Linked DNA regions of Oryctolagus cuniculus. The protein of the gene in region 2 purifies or fractionates together with the protein of the main gene of each other region. This does not show direct contact. Links are inferred from orthologs where the notes say so. Each region holds a gene or a part of one and is shown on either strand. Other genes may lie near its edges.

Evidence for each region.
Region 1: the proteins of DVL2 (region 2) and PLK1 purify together in Homo sapiens (affinity purification with mass spectrometry; 6 studies listed by BioGRID and IntAct, with this or other methods). This does not show direct contact. The link is inferred for Oryctolagus cuniculus from reciprocal best matches to the Homo sapiens genes DVL2 and PLK1.

Annotation. Positions count from the first base shown.
Region 1 is NC_091450.1:15,668,130-15,672,849, forward strand, and holds part of PLK1 (serine/threonine-protein kinase PLK1), read right to left. Parts: intron 3,763-4,720; coding exon 3,543-3,762; intron 1-3,542. UniProt on the Homo sapiens protein: Serine/threonine-protein kinase that performs several important functions throughout M phase of the cell cycle, including the regulation of centrosome maturation and spindle assembly, the removal of cohesins from chromosome arms, the inactivation of anaphase-promoting complex/cyclosome (APC/C) inhibitors, and the regulation of mitotic exit and cytokinesis.
Region 2 is NC_091448.1:51,833,236-51,837,277, forward strand, and holds the end of DVL2 (segment polarity protein dishevelled homolog DVL-2), read right to left. Parts: intron 3,477-4,042; coding exon 3,409-3,476; intron 3,235-3,408; coding exon 2,890-3,234; intron 2,757-2,889; coding exon 2,577-2,756; intron 2,270-2,576; coding exon 2,051-2,269; intron 1,920-2,050; coding exon 1,471-1,919; 3' UTR 921-1,470; downstream 1-920. Other genes in the region: ACADVL (very long-chain specific acyl-CoA dehydrogenase, mitochondrial), read left to right, coding at 96-168, 248-320, 405-480, 559-699.

The DNA.
Region 1 (4,720 bases), on a different chromosome or scaffold from region 2:
TGCCTGCCCAAGTGCATTAACAAAAAGTTGGATCAGAAGCTGAACATCCAGGACTCACACAGGAGGTCTGATATGGGCTCTACAAGCATCACCCTAACCCACAGCAGCACCACACCCACCCTGCCCCCAACTTTCAAATAACTAAAAATAAATATCCATATAAACATACAAGTATTTTTAGCATCCCAGAAGTTGGGGGGTCAGGAGGATGAGTAATTACAACCCCTCAGTGGAATGGATTCAGTTGCTTTTCAGTGAAAATGGGAACTTTTTCCACCCCCAGAATCTGTTTATGTACTTCTATATAAGTCAAAGGAGTTGGTTTTATTTGGGTGGTAGTAAGCATGGATATTACTATCTTTATACTTAAATGTTTAATTCTTTTCCCCACCAACATGTCTAATTCTCCTGAAATATTTCCTAAAAGAAGTTTTCAATTAAGAAAAAAACTATGCTGTGACAGGTATGCAAGCATGAAATAGTAACATATTAGGGATTTGCTTTAAAAACTAGGAAAAAAGGGGAGGAGGAGGAAGGTATGGAACAGATCAAAATCTAGTAGCTGTGCTGGTAACTACTGACAACGGATGACGAACACGTGGGGAGTCACGGCACACTTCTCTCTGCCTTTGGGTAAAGTTGAAAACATCCATGAAGTTTTTTGTTTTTAAAAAAAGCTGTAAGTTCAAAATTAAACTGAAAAGTAATCCTTAAAAAACCCCAGTATTATATTAATATAGCCCAAAGAACAAAATAAACAATCCTTGAGTTCATTACTGACATAAATAAGCAAACAAGGAGAGGGCCAGCTCTTCCTTAGAGGGCCAACTAGTGAAACGCAGGAGCAGGGAAAAGAAAGAGCACGAGAACACAGTGAGCACTGCTGCAGGCAGGCCCCGCCGTGGGCGCTAAACTCGGCACGGGACACTGAGCCTAGCAGTCATACATCGGTTAGGACACCTGCGTGTCACCTGACTCACCACTTCCTGCTAATGCAGACCCTCCGAGGCACTGGCAATGGCTCAAGTAACTGGGTCCCTGCCACTGACATGGGAGGCCTGGACCGAGCTCCTGGCTCCAGCCTTAGCTCAGACCCAGCTGTTGCAGGCATTTGGGCAACAAACCAGTGGATGAGAGCTTTCTCTCTCTCAGATAAAAATAAGAGAAACCCATCAGATGCCACGGTAACCAAGTGATCACAGTTAATAAACACCACCACTAACAAGAGAAAAAAAAAATCAATGTGTACCCCTGATAGACTACATGGAGCCGGCGCCGCGGCTCACTAGGCTAATCCTCCACCTGTGGTGCTGGCACCCCAGGTTCTAGTCCCGGCTGGGGTGCTGGATTCTGTCCTGGTTGCTCCTCTTCCTGTCCAGCTCTCTGCTGTGGCCCGGGAGTACAGTGGAGGATGGCCCAGGTCCTTGGGCCCTGCACCCGCATGGGAGACCAGGAGGAAGCACCTGGCTCCTGGCTTTGGATCGGTGCAGCGCACCGGCCGTAGTGGCCATTTGGGGGGTGAACCAATGGAAGGAAGACCTTTCTCTCTAACTCTGCCTGTCCAAAAAAAAAAAAAAAAACCCACGAAACAAACCAGAGTCCACGGAGAAGGGCGCATCACTTCTGCTGCACTCCCCCAAAGTCTAGAACCTCAGTGTGAGCGCGAGGAACTCCAAATCCACAGAAAGAGCGGAAGTGGAAAACCTGACGAGGGCCCAAGACAGCCTGGAGTGTGAAACTACCGGGGCCGACGCTGAGGGGGAGCAGTGAAGCTGCCGCCTGCTCCACCTCCTATCCAGCTCTCTGCTATAGCCTGGGAAGGTGGTGGAAGATGGCCTGAGCCCTTGGGCCCCTGCACCCGCGTGGGAGACCCGGGAAGCGGGGAGCTCCTGGCTTTGCATCGGTACAGCTCCGGCCATTGTGGCCAACTGGAGAGTGAAGCAGCAGATGGAAGACCTCTCTCTCTCTCTCTCTCTCTCTGCCTCTCCTTCTCTCTCTCTGCATAACTCTAACTTTCAAGTAAAACAAATAAATCTTAAAAAAAAATTTACAAAGTGAAAAGTAGAATTCAAAAAAGAAAAAGAAAAGATACTGCCCTGTGTTTTAGTCCTTCTCTGTGGTTACACAACACGCTGATGCGCGGGAAGCCAAGGGAAGGGTATATGGGAACTCTCTCTGCAATTGCTATTATCTTTTAGAATTTCTGTATAAGCCTAAAGTTATTCTACAATAAAATTCTAGAAAGTAATCCCTAAATATTGAAAACTAACAAACAAATGAACTTAAGTTGTCTATCAAACTGAGATACACCTAGAGGAAGTATTTCAAGCTACTTTAAAAAAAAAAAACAAAACAACATATCTTTGGAGCCAGCACTGTGGCGTGGCGGGTTAAGCTGCAGCCTGCAGTGCCGACATCCCATATGGGCGCTGGTTCTAGTCCCAGCTGCTCCACTTCCGATCCAGCTCCCTGATATTGCACCTGGGAAAGCAGTGGAAGATGGCCTAAGTCCTCAGGCCCCAGTACCCACATGGGAGACTCAGATGAACCTCCTGGCTCCTGGCTTCGGCCTGGCCCAACCCTGGCCATGGCAGCCATCTGGGGAGTGAACAAGCTGATGGAAGATCTCTCTCTCCTCCTGTAACTCTTTCAAATAAAATAAATAAGTCTATATTTTAAAAAGAAGATTGCTCTAAAACTATATTGTATCCATGTTAAATTTCTTGAGCTTGATAACTGTTATGCACTGTGGTTATATAAAATAATCTTTGTTTTTAGGAAATACACACTGAAGTATTAAGGGTAAGAATGGAATACTTACATACACAACTTACTTTTAAACAATTCTGTGTGCATGCAATGCAAATGAATGATGTCTTCAAAAAGTTAATGGAAAAACCTGTATTATGAAAAACTACAGGTTCAACTTCGCACCAAAATAAACTTCTAATTCCATTTTTTTCCCATTAACTTTTTGAAGTACCCTCATGTGCAGTATACGTGGGAGGTAGAGGAAGAAGATAAAAGTAAATGTAAAAAAAAAATGGCAACTGGTGGATCTAGGGAACAGGGTAGACGGAAGAGGAGCTTCCTGTTTGTTCTTCCACCTTTTTTTAACCTTGAAATAATAGCAAAATAAAATGCTACGAAAAAGGGAATCGCAAACATTATCATACACCCAGATGTCCCCCTTTAAAGTAAGTATTTCCTGACTCTGTCCTATAGAAGAGACCCAGAGGAAATGACAACCTAGGTAATGGCACGTGACGTTAGATTTTCCTAAGAAAATCGAAGCCGCATACTGAAGTTATGGGTACAATGGCAAGATGTCTGAGGTTAACTTTAAGAATATATCAGAGAAACAGGGAAGGCTCCGCAGGGCAGGTGTGACTGCTCAGATGGTGGGGACCTGGAGGCTCCCACAGCCTGCTCAGGGTGTGTATTTGAAACTGTTCCTGTCTCCTTCAATGAAGCATGAAGAAGTGATATTAGGGGCCTCGGTTCTCTCTGGGGTTCTGTGTCTGACCCTCCCCTTGCTTTACCTTTATTAAGGACGGTGAGAGGCTTCCGGCTGCTGGGGTCCAGGCTGCTGGGAGCGATTGAGAACCTGGGTGGAATGGTGAGGCAAGTGATGGGCAGCCGGGCAGGGATGTAGCCGGAAGTGAAGAACTCGTCACTGAGCAGCTCGTTAATGGTCGGGCGGGCAGAGGGGTCTGTCTGCAGCATCTTCTGGATGAGGGACGCAGCCACAGGGTTGATGTGCTGGAGCAGAGACAGAGAAAGCCCTGAGCCGGGCGTGGCCGTGGACTGGGACAGCAGTGCTGTCATAGCGGGACCACAGCCCACAGGGCAGCTCCGGGTCTCAAGTAAGCCATGGTTCCACAACTAAGAACATCGCCAAGCTCCCCCTTATCGACCTCACGGAGCTGACGAGTGAGAAGGATCACGTTTCTTCCCTCTTGGAACTCCAGATTAAGCTGTTTTCCCCCAGACTTGCCCTTGCACACCTAAAGTTGCTCGTCTCCACTGCAGCGCCTTGAGGACACAGGCTTTGAGGTCTTGCACCTGTTTAAACACCGTTTTGCCCTCATCTCAGCTACGACAAGCAACCTGCGCTTTGTAGGGCCTTTGGGGCCGCATCTGTAAAAGGACGGTGAGCACCAAGCTTGGGGCCCTGCTCAGAAGCCTCGATGGGCTTGTCCTCGCACAGGCTGGGGCAGCCACAGCCTGGCACTGGCTCTGCACGCACTATGCGCCGGGGCAGTGTTCTCAGCGCTTGCTGTTCACTAACTCTCGTGGACCTCACACACACCGCACCTAAGGGCAGGGATGTCTGTCTGCCTTCCTCTACAGAGGGGGCTGAGGCACGGAGAGGGTGGGGGCCTTGCCTAAGGATACCCATCTAGCTCGGGAGTGACAGGAGCCAGCACCAACCCCACGTCTGACCGCAGTCTGACCCTCTGAGGCCGTCACTCCTCTGTCCTCCCACAGTCAGAGCACTTGGCTTCACATATGCCAAGAGCCGCAAACTGGAAACCGGCAGTGTACCAGGCCTCTGCAGAAGCGGGCCGTTCTGTAAAAACGCGTTGGTGCCAGTGGTTGGGAGAAGCTCACGGAGTCTCTGAGTACCTGGTGTGTGCCAGCCACTCCAGAAGCAGGTGGAAAACTACGGTTCAGAAGATTCAGGCAACCTGCCCAACGTGATCGAATGAAGACAATC
Region 2 (4,042 bases):
TGGGCGGGGCTGGGCGGGGCTGGGCGGGGCAGGGCGGGGCCCGCCTGGCCCCAGGCTGTCCCTCTGAGCCCTGGGTGCCTTCTCCCTGTCCTCAGGCAGTGCGGGCTCTGGAGCAGTTTGCCGCTGTGGTGGAGGCCAAGCTGATAAAGCACAAGAAGGGGATCGTCAGTGAGTGAGCCCCCCCCCAGCCTCCCCTCCATGCTCTGGCTCAGACTGACGCCCCGCCCCCTTCCCACCCACCTGACAGATGAACAGTTTGTGCTGCAGCGGCTGGCAGACGGGGCCATCGACCTGTACGCCATGGTGGTGGTTCTCTCCAGGTGAGGAAGCGGTGGGTGCGGAGAGGCCCACCAGGGTCAGCGGCATAGCCCAGATTGGATTTACTTTCTCCTGCTTTCAACCAGGGCCTCACGAGCCCTGAACGAGGGCTACCCTACAGCCCAGCACGAGAAAATACTCTGTGACAGCTGGTGTATTGAGGTGAGGCTTGGGGCTACGGCTACCAAATGCTGCGGGGGGGCCTTGAGGTACGGGCCTGAACCCCCTCCCCCCGCACAGGCTGCTGCCCGCATCCGGGAGAGCATGGCCGCTCTGCAGTCCGACCCCCAGCAGCAGGAGCTCTTCCGGAACTTCCGAAGCATCTCCACGGCGCTGGTGGAGCAGGGTGGCGTGGTCACCAGCCGCCCCCTTGGCGTCTGAGCATTCTCACCCAGGGTCTGGCCCATCAGTGCCTTCTCTCAAGCTAAAGCCAGGCCCCCTGCCAGGACCCTGAGGGGGGCCTCGTATTCCCAGAACTGTGCCTGCTCTCAGGAGCGCTGCCTCACAAATACAGTTTCTAACAAGTCAGACTTGGCTACTATGTCTCCGGTCTTTCCCTCCACTGCCTACCTCCCTCCCAAAGAAAGAACCAGAGGCCTGGGGAGTTTGCCTCTATTGCTTTATTTGGTGTTTTATACAAGTGACTAAAATAAATAGAATAACAAAGGCAGCTACACGGCCCCAGTACCAAATACCCCAGCTTCCTTGGCCTGCTGTCTGGGGGGCCCAAACCCCTTCTCCTCCCAGGGTACCATGGACCACTCCCCACCCTGCGTAGGGTAGAGCCAACGGGGTGACTGGAGGAGGCTACATTCTGGGGTTAGAAGAAAGGGTCCAGGAAATGGGAATTCTTCATATAAAAAAGGAAATGTCTATTAAAAAAATAGTCCCCAAAATGTAACAAAGTATACTTTAAACCCCAAAAAAGTTTATAAAAAAATAATAAAGCTAAGAGTAACCACAGGTCCCTTGTGTACCCCTGCGGGAGGGGAAGGGACCAGGCACTGCTGGTGAGTCACAGTGGCAGTAAGTTTAGGGTGGGCGGCAGCCGCCAGGCTGAGCCCAGGCACTGTGGGGAGTAACAGGTGCGCGACTGGCAGACAGCAGCCACCGAGCAGGAGCACCGAGGAGTCAGACATGGCCCCAACGGCTCTACATAACGTCCACAAAGAACTCGCTGGGGTTGCCCATGGCCATGTGGAAGCTCTGGCGGCTGGCTGTCAGTTCTGGGGGTACGGAACCCAGGTCTCTGACCGGAGGGGCCCCTGGGGGCTGTACCGCTGGAGGGACAGGGGGTGGGGGCGGGGGCATCATGACCACCATCATGGGATTATACGGGAGGGCCATGCCAGGGGGTGGTCCGTAGGGATGGAGTCCTGGGTGGGCTCTGAGATTGGAAGCACCCCCTGTGGAGCCCCTGGACGGGGGAGGACCCCCATCGCCAGTCCCACCAGGTTCCCCGCCCCGGCGAAGGCTGCCCCCCCTGCTGGAGGGCTCCGACTCACTGCCACTGCCGGACTTGGACTCGGGGGCCCGCTCCTCAGGCCTCCCTGTGCGCCCAGCCCCCCCGTCGCTTCGTGTAGACCCGCTGCTCCGGCTCCCTGTTGGGGGAAGAGGGGTGGGACAACTGAGCCCGGGACCCAGGGTCCTCTGGCCTCGCCAGCCCCTGCTCCAGCTCTCCTGGTTTCCCTTTTCTCCGCCCTGCACGTGCTGGTATCTGGGGGCGGCTTACCTTCACTGTGCTGGCTGCTGGCACTGCCCCCTCCGTAGGTGTAGGACGAAAGCTCGTGGTAGGGTGGGGGCTGGGGGCTGTAGGGGTGTGGGGCTGGATACTGATAGGAGAAGGTGGGCAGCAGGGGCCAGGGGGTGGCCCCAGGCAGAGGAGCCAGGGTGTCCTGGTCTGACGCCCCACTGGAGCCATCGTTGTCATTCAGAGACAGGTTGACGAGGTCTGGAGAACAAGGGAAGGGATGAAGAGGTCACTGCCTGGGAGGCCAGGACCCTAGAATGCTGGACGGAAATTCTGGCGGGAACCACAGCCCCAGGACCACCTGTGACACGGGTGGAGAGGGGGTTACAGGGTCTTGGAAACTCTACCTACTACTGCTTCAGGGCAGGGCACAGCCAGGGCACCAGCAGCCCATGCGCTGTTGTGGGACGTGGAAGAGGTGCCCCTGGCCACCCCGGTGAACAGCTTGTCTAGCAGAACCTGAGTGGACGCCAGCCCCGCCCCCAGCCAGGCGGGCAGAAGAACTTACAACTCTCACAGCCGCCACTGAGGTCACCAAAGACGTAATAGCACTGCTCAGAGAAGGTGATCTTGTTCACGGTGTGCCGGATCAGGCCTGCCTTGAGCAGCCCGCTGGCGTACTTGCGCGCCTCCCGCCGCTCAGGGAAGCCCTCCACGTGATGGTAGAGCCAGTCGACCACGTCCGAGCCTGGGTCACCCACAGGGCAAAAGGGCCTCAGGTTCTCCGGCCAGCCCTTGCCACCACCCTGCCTGCGCCATGCCCAGCTTGGGTTCTCTCCTCTTCCTCTCCTCCCCTGCCACCTGCCCAGGGCCCAGCGTACCCAGAAAGGCATTGGGGATGGTAATCTTGAGCCACATGCGGTCGCGGACTTCCAGCCCGGACTCTGGGGCTGCCATGGCCTTGGTCACAGATGCCATGTCTGTGTGGATGGAGAGACCCCGGCCCTCACAGCCTGACAGAGGAGACAATGGAGAATTAGGGGTGGGGCTCCCACCCCCAGGGATGCGGCTCCCGGGGATGTGGAGGGGGGGCTCACCATCAGGCAGGGAGGGCCCGGATGTAATGGTGCTCATGGATGAGGAGCCGGGATAGGCTGGGAAGGTGCCAGTCAGCGCGGCAGAGTGCGACACCCAGGCGGCAGGGTCAATCGGCTGGATGGGTTCATCTGAGACAGAGAGCGCCACCAAGATTGTCACTTCCCATCCCAGAAAGCCAGGCCCGTCCCTCCAAGCTCAGAGTCCTGTCCCATCTGTGCCTGACCCTCCTCCGCCCCTTCTCCACAGCCTAGAGCCCAGCCCAGCCTCCGCACTGCCTGTTCTCTTCCCTGGACGTCACTTACTTCGGGGCAGGGTGAAATAGGCCTGGGGAGAGGGATCCCAACACTTGGCCACAGTCAGCACGATGGGGCTGTGGGAGGAGATGGCCAGTTAGGGGTGGGCAGGGTGGAGGCCTCGGGAGAGCCAAGGCCTGCAACAAAAGTGGATTAAGGAGCAGAAAGAGTGAGAAGAAAAAAGCAGGCACATGGCCAGGCCAGAGAAAGTGAGCATGCAAGGCTCCACACTGCGGCTGACTCACCCATGTGGAGGACTCCTGGGTCATACGGCTGAGCGAGACAGGACACCGCCCACCGTGCAAGACCACTCCCAGGAAGTCCCACAACAGGTGGCACTCAGCCCCGCTGTTGGAGGATGCATGCATGGGTGGTGAAAGTATCGAGTGAAACACAGATTTTTCTCTGGGCCGCAGAAGTCAGGAGAGTGACTACCCCAAGGGGCAGAGGGGCACGGGCAACCTTGCACTTCAGGTGTGAGGGAGTGGCGGCCTGGGTTTTCACTCTAGAATTATCCGTCACCTTGCGCATTTCTGCTTCACGTACATCGAGCCTTACGTCTCACCAGTATTTAAAATGACCAAACGAAAGTGAGGGGACAGAAGACCAGCACCAGCGCGGGGCTCACCCGGGCTTGTGGACT